Linked DNA regions of Coturnix japonica. The protein of the gene in region 1 interacts with the protein of each later gene in a pairwise test. Links are inferred from orthologs where the notes say so. Each region holds a gene or a part of one and is shown on either strand. Other genes may lie near its edges.

Evidence for each region. The genes of interacting proteins can lie anywhere in the genome.
Region 2: the proteins of CEP76 (region 1) and KIAA1143 interact in binary tests that used the Homo sapiens proteins (3 or more experiments, as listed by UniProt). The two-hybrid records come from large-scale screens. The link is inferred for Coturnix japonica from reciprocal best matches to the Homo sapiens genes CEP76 and KIAA1143.

Annotation. Positions count from the first base shown.
Region 1 is NC_029517.1:87,454,322-87,457,970, reverse strand, and holds part of CEP76 (centrosomal protein of 76 kDa), read right to left. Parts: intron 2,949-3,649; coding exon 2,851-2,948; intron 2,413-2,850; coding exon 2,284-2,412; intron 1,017-2,283; coding exon 825-1,016; intron 32-824; coding exon 1-31. UniProt on the Homo sapiens protein: Centrosomal protein involved in regulation of centriole duplication. Required to limit centriole duplication to once per cell cycle by preventing centriole reduplication.
Region 2 is NC_029517.1:39,705,587-39,709,679, forward strand, and holds the start of KIAA1143 (uncharacterized protein KIAA1143 homolog), read left to right. Parts: upstream 1-1,270; 5' UTR 1,271-1,333; coding exon 1,334-1,441; intron 1,442-1,953; coding exon 1,954-2,113; intron 2,114-4,093. Other genes in the region: kinesin-like protein KIF15, read right to left, coding at 789-828, 1,020-1,038.

The DNA.
Region 1 (3,649 bases):
ACAGAAGGTTGGCATGATCTTCACAGTCACCCTAGACAGTAAATGTTTGTATGTTGGTTTGACTATCAGGCATAGCTAAAAACATTAGAAAAAGAAAGCAGTATTTCTCCAGTTGTTATCTAACAAGTCGCGTTTCCCTCCTATTTACCTAAAACATGCACCAGAAGTCAGGACTTCAAGGTTACAAACTTAAGAATCTTGAATTCCTCTTTTTAATATGCACCATATCAAAGTATATCAGGCTTTTACAACTTCCAATGGAGTTATTGTTCTTCACAGAGGCTCATATGGTGCTGCATTTTGGATTTTTTATGAGAACAGTGCTGACAGCACACCATTGCAGGTGCTGCAGAGCAGCGTTTACACAGACACAAGGATATTTCAGTTCTTCATGCTGCCTTGCCCATAAAGGGCTGTGGTACACAAGGAACTGAGAGGACAGAAACAGGATAACAGCTGATCCAGACCACCCAAAGGATGTCCCATGTCACATGTCATAGCGCTCAGCAACATAAGCTGGGTTGAAGGAGGAAAAGGGGATGTTTGTGATGATGGCTTTTATTTTTCCCCCCTTAAGGAACCATTACACATGATGTCCAATGGATTCATTGAAAAAAGGATTCAAGCAACAGCACTGAATAAAGTAAGTCAGCTCCAAAGCCCTCTTGTCTAATACTTAACATCTGCCACTATTTGATCTTATAAAAGCTATTTGCATTTATGAGTTCTCTGAAATGGATTCAGTCCACCTTTTGCAACCTGTTTTAAATGACTAACTTCATTCCAACTATAAAAGTTGTCATGCAAAGACTGTTTTTACATACCTTGTTTCTACATACGAATGCAAGAAGTGTGCACCACTGCTCTTGTTTGCCACCACCTCCTCCGATGACAGGAGCTCTTTCATAACCCAGGACACTGACAAATCGTGCTGCTTGTCTAGGTGTGTCTAGCAACCGGCCCGCTCGAAGTGGTCTGATATATGAACATACCGGACGGTTTACTCCATTTTCATCCTGAACGTGGTAAAGAAATAATAGTACTATTAAAACTTCCTAAAGCAATCCATTATCTACTGTTAGTTTCCAGTGAAGCTTCCATTCCGGCTGCACCAGGTGTGTTCAGCAGTGAGATGAATGCACCACACCCTTACGTGGAAGCTGACACTACTCCCGTACACAGCTGGTGAAGCCAGAAGAGAAGACCTCACTTCCCTGAAGACAAACAGCAGGTGTGGATTGCTTCCGGAAGTTATTTCATCATCTGTGCCAGGAAAATTGCTGCTCTACAAGTTAAATTCATATATTAGCATGATAAACACAAAGCATCACAGAATGGCCCAGGTTGGAAGGGACCTCAAGGATCAAGAATCTCCAAATCTCCTGCCACAGGCAGGGCCACCAACCTTGCCATTTAATAGTAGACCAGGTTGCCCAGGGCCCCATCCAACCTGGCCTTGGACACCTCCAGGGATGGGGCATCAGCAGCCTCTCTGGGCAGCCTGTTCCAGCACCTCACAACTCTCAAAGAACTTCCCCCTGACATCCAGCCTAAATCTTCCCTCCCTCAACTTGAAACCATTTCCCCTTGGCTGTCTGTTATCTACCCTTTCAAAGGCTTGACTCTCCTCCTGTTTGTAGGCTCCCTTTAAGTACTGAAAGGCTGCAATGAGGTCACCCTGCAGCCTTCTTTTCTCCAGGCTGAACAAGCCCAGCTCCCTCAGCCTGTCCTTATAGTCCCATACCATTCCTACTACTGAGGGGCAGTCACCAAGGAACAACTGATGTGATTGTGACGTAAGTTACAACACAGTAACTTACTAGCCAATGATTTGTTCACATCTGTAACTACCATGCAACATTCACCAGCCAGATTACTTTATTAACCACAGAGTGCTCAAATATTATATGGATCTGCTCCAGTATATCCAGTAACTCCACTACTTATTACTGTATAAAACCTGTCTGCAATAGTTTGTATAGATCACTTAAGCATTTGCCATTTGTACTTATTCAAGGAAAAGACTAAAATGGCTTTTCTACCTCCTACACCAGGGGTGCTTGGAGCAGCCTTTCTCTATGAAACATACTCTTCAGCTTCAGTATACATAGTTCAAGTCTTGAAAACTTCATTGTCAGCATACTGTATCACATGTAGCCCTGAATGGAATCTAACCACATCATAAATCTATACAAATTCTACATACACAAACTTCAAACATGCAGCTAAGACTAAAAAAAACACCTTGAAGAACAGATTGGTGTATTTGTAAAATATACAAACCTGTGCAAAAATCTTTACCAGCCTTGAGTTGTGTGTAGGCCTGATCTGCAGGTATTCTCTCCACCACTGTTTAGCATACACAAGAAATAAACGTTCTTTTTCTGCTGTCTTCTGACGTTCCAAAGTAAACTACAGGTAGGAAAATACACACAACCATTCACACATATAATAATTCCAAACAAGAACAAAAAGTAATCAATATACATACTAGCACATGATCCTTGCATATGAAAAATGAAGTTTAATATGACAGCATGCAACCAATGCTAAAGAATAGTATTTTAAAGTGAAAATCCAATGAATGTAAAACTCAATTTACATTTCTTGTTTGTAGGCTGATATATCAAGCTTGACTGAAGTAGTGTTCATCTTCAGTGACGCATATCTGTATAGAAGGACTACTCACCTTGCTAAGTGTGGAATAATATCTGTAACACCTTTGGGCCACCATTTACTGGCTTTTCAAGTAGAGTAACCGACCCTTTATCTACATAAATAACTGTACAGTGTGCATCCCCCCTGCTGATAAAAGAACAGGCCATCCCTCACCCCCTACATATTACTTACCTGAGTGCTTGTTATTTCTGGAGACAGAGTCTTAGTAAGTGGTGGATACATTTCAAGTCTGATGTTCAAAACACCGACAGAAACCTTTGATTCTGTACCTTTGAACCAAAATACATTCCTATCAGTCCTTTCAAATTCATTTGACACAGAACAAATAATAGTTTTAATCATACCATCATAAAAATAAAACCCCATAAACTTCTCTAAGTACATACAACACAAAGATCTTCACTGAAATATTCTACTCAAGAATGAAAGGAATGATAACCTGGCTAAAGAAGCTGGTAACTGGATCTGAGCCCTAAGGGCCTCTTTCCAGGTGATACCAGAACATACAAGATGAATGCTGTTCTGTAAGGGCTAGAATAGGCACCTACAAATAGACTGGAAGAGCCACAGTGTACAAGTGCCCATTGTTACTGAATGTACAACTCACTGCTCAGATCACTGTGGTTAGAGCAGGATCATAACTGCTACACAGGACAAGCTAGATTTTACACTTGAGAACACTGACACGGTATTTTTCCTGGAGACGCATTTGTTGATTTATGTTTGTTTTGATAGTTTACCCACATCCTGGAGATAACAGAGGCTCCCAGGTACAGGGACCACTATTGCACAGGATCTGGAACACACATTCTTAACACTTTGATAAGACAAAAATCTGACCATTAGTCCTTTATATAAACTCTTCTTAAGGATACCTTAAAGTAATTCATGAGTTGATACCTTAAAGTAATTCATGAGTTGATTAGCTGAACTGAAATCAAACCAAACCATAAATACTACTTTAAGCTTC
Region 2 (4,093 bases), about 48 Mb from region 1:
AATTTGAAGTACAAAGAGAGGGGAGGAAGAGAGACCACACAGACCACTGCAGTTACAATGGGGCTTGAGCAATTTCTAAGGCTGTAGATTTCAAGCATCCTCTTCATTACAGGAACTCAGAAAAAGATTACACAAACGGAACACATGGTTACATATATTACACATATATTACAGAAAGAAATCTTGCATTTTCTTTGCTTTTCATAGGGAGAGAATAATCAATTCACAATCAATGATCTGATCAAGGACAGCAGCTCCTACAATTAAAATCTCCCCGGCCAATTTCACATTAATCAGTGGACACAACAGTTTGTTCTTTGTTGAACACTCTGAAGTAATGCCTCCTATTTTGTTATTCTGGCACATGACATCTGACACGGATGTTGGCGGTAGGGCAGAGGTGGACCTTCCCACCAATGAAGACTTGACACTGGATTTCAGACATCTCACTAACTTGACAAGTATTTTGTCATACAGGGCAGAAACTGTGTATATTTGGAGGGCTTTTTGTCTTTCTTTTAGCTTAGAACTCCTGCACAGAAGCCTAAAAATCCCTCAGAGATATAGTAGAGCTGGTGGGAGATCCAAGAGCTCTAAGAGAAATCCGATGCCTCAGAACCACACTTTGATTTAGGGATTTTGATTTTAAATCACTAAGTTGAGATATAGACAGTCCTGTGTGGGAAAAACACCGCGTGAAAAACTCAGCGTTACTTTCTACAGTGACACTATTTGCACTATCCCCCCCCCACACACAGAGTTATTCGTAGGAGCCAATAATACTTTACCTGGATGAGTTCATCACAGGCACCGCGGAGTCACGTAAATCTACAAAAGACGAACAATAAAATGAGGTAGATGAAAGGAATTACTGATAAATGCCCATATAAATGCTCTCGGGGACACCCGAGATGATCCCATCCCACGGCCACACACCACAGCCCGCTCAGCTCAACAGCCCTGAGGTACCCCCAGCCCCTCTCAGTTGCACACCCTGATCACCCCCTTATCCCCCTCACCTCTCGTGCCGGGAGCCATGATCCACGGGAGCCCTACAACCCCCCGCCCGCCCCCTGTCCCTCCAAAATGGCGGCTTGTTTGAATTTGGCGCTAAGAGCCGAAAGCAACGTGGCTCCTCCCCTATCATGAAGCCAACAAGGGAGCGGCCATTTCGTTACACGATCCCTTCCCCTGTTCTGCATTCTCTCCTCTCATTGGCTGGAAGCATTGCTGCCCCCGTCACGTGATGAAGGTATAGGAAGAGAGGCGGAAGTAGGAAGCGTGCTGGCTGTTCTTTTCCGGTTGCCGTCCTCCGCCACCGGAAGTGGCGGCCATGAGCAAAAGGAACCAGGTCTCCTACGTGCGGCCGGCCGAGCCCGCGTTCCTCAGCCGCTTTAAGCGGCAGGTCGGGTATCGGGAGGGGCCCACGGTGGAAACCAAGGTAACGGCCTCCATGAGGAGAGGGGCTTCCTTCTCATTGCTCGGCATCGTGTCCCTTGTAAAGGGTTCAAATGGTCTTTAATGGTCTTTAAAGGGTTAAAATGGCCATATCAGCTGATAAGCTGCTACAGTAGGGGCCGTAGGGCTTGTGTGTGCTTTTTATTCCGTTACATAAGACTCTGTAGCAATGATGGTGTATTCTCTGAACAGTTGTACTGAGTCCTACGAGCCCGTTTTAGTTGCCAAGTACAAGCAAATCCGTATTTAAAATACATAAATAAATATGTTTGTCCTTGCTGGACTGGGGCTGCAATAACACACACTGGAGGATGTGACAGATTTGTGTCATTTGGGCAAAGCACATTGGAATACATTGAAATACATTGGAAGAACCTGGTACTGTGAGCTGTGCAATGGCTTGCATCACTGCTGACCTGAAACCAAAACCACTGCCTTCTATTTTTCCAATTGATTTATATCATTTTTTTTTTTGCTTTTGTTTCTTTTCTCTAGAGAGAACAGCTTCCACTTGCGGATAGTGATTCTGAGAATGGCAGCGATAATGAAGATGAGCAGCCTCAAGTGGTTACCCTGAAAAAAGGGGACTTGACTGCTGAAGAAGCAATGAAAATTAAACAGCAAATCAAAGAGGCCTTGAAGTCGAGTGAACAAGGTGAATTTCAAACCACTAATTTCTTACTTCATATAGCCAAAGCGAGAGAATCATAAAAAGGAGCTTGATGATCTTTGCTTGTTTTCTATCATTTAATATCACCTTTGATTCCCAATCTGAAGTAATGTCCAAGCTGTCTGTTTCTATATGGTTGAAGCTCTGTTTTTCTTGATGGTGCGTCATTCTACTTCTAAAGCACCACGTTAATTTATTATTGATAATAATTGGGGAGTAGGGAAATGGAGTGTCATTAGCTTGCTGTATATTCTTCACATCACCTGTGATAACTTCTGAACTCACTAATCAGTTAATTAACCTTGTTCAATGGTAGGGTTGGGTGTATTAGAGGCAATCTTATGATAATACGTATGTAGGAGGAAACTCAAGTTAGTGCTTCAGAGAAGAGAATGACTGGTTTGTAAGCTTAGTTCCTCAATGAGTTAACTGGCTGCTCCACATCAGTACTTTCTTGAGATCATCCTCAGTGTGCATTGTGACTTGCATAACTAGTAGGGCACATGGAAAACAAGTAGCAGTGCTGCAGTGTGACTTTAGATGTGAAAGAAAGGGGGTGAATGAGATAAACAGAAGGTTTTCATGGATATAGGGAGTGACATGAAAGGAAAAGGAGCCAAGATCTTTAAAGCAGGTTTGGAACCTAAAATCAAACTGCAGTAAACCAGACTAACTTATTTCTGCTGTTCCTTATGCATCTTCTACACTATTTATATGAATATAGAAAAATATTTCGACTACCCTTTTGGTTATTTTGTATTTATTTTTGTAAATTTAGACTATTTCACTGAAAACAAAGTTGCACAGATAAACAGTTTTGCTTTTACACTGCTTAAAAGATAGTAAAATAAAAAATCTGGACTTTGTTTCATTGCTTATCTCTTCTGGAGATAATAAACTATCTAGAACCTGGGGAGAGGGTGACAATGTGTTCAATAACTGATGCAAGAAAATACATAGAATCATAGAATTACCCAGGTTGGAAAAGACCTTGAAGATCATCAAGTCCAACCGCAGCCTAACCATAGTACCCTCACAACCCTCTGCTAAATCATATCCCTGTGCACCAGGGATGCCATCTACAGCTAGTATGGGAAAGCTGTTGTTCTTGTGGGTGTATGACAGACCACTGAGAAGATTGAAATGCAACATTTCAACTAAAAGTAAGGTCTTGTTTCTCAATGGGAAATTGATAATTTCATTGTATTGTTCAATCTCTTTGGAAAATCTGTTAACAGCTTAACATTCTTAATAGAGTGAGCAGAAAAACTCTTGTTAATTCTATTATGAAAGTTAATTGGTGTTGCAGTTTGTATAGCTGTTGCATGATTTCTTTTCAAAAGTTGTCCTGTCATTCTAGTACCGCTAGAAATTTCATCTGACTGGAAAGAAATGGCATTCTTTTGGAGTGTTGGTTTCTTTTTCATGTAAGCAGGTTAGTATTTGAACGGTCACAGTAGGAGGAAAAATGATTTTGTAAAGCTATGCAAGAAGAAGTAGTTGTCCATGAGAATCTATTGAGGTGGAGTCCATGCTGTGAAAGAGAGTTCGAAAGCAGCTGATATACTAAGATGAATACACAATGTGAAAATGGAAGTGTATTTGAACAGAGCCACTGAATTTTTCTGGTGGAAAAAGGCATTCCTGAGGCATAAATATAAATCTATGTAGTAAGAATAGTAGTTTTGAGTCCCTGCTGGACTTCAGGACCTCTGCTTTTGCTTCTTCATTCACCAAGGGATAACATGCACTTGAGGGAAAAAATCTGCAGTGGTTGGTAGCAGGACTATTAAAATGCTATACTGTGGGTAGTGCTGCTCTCTATTCTGCATGATAGTGTTACTATCTGCCTTTGCTGTCACTCCGAGGTCTTGCTTTTGCTTCTTGTTCTTATGAGAATACACATGTCAAATGTGTTTGTATGTATGTGCCTCTGCTGTGCAGAGGACTGAGTGTGAAACTGTC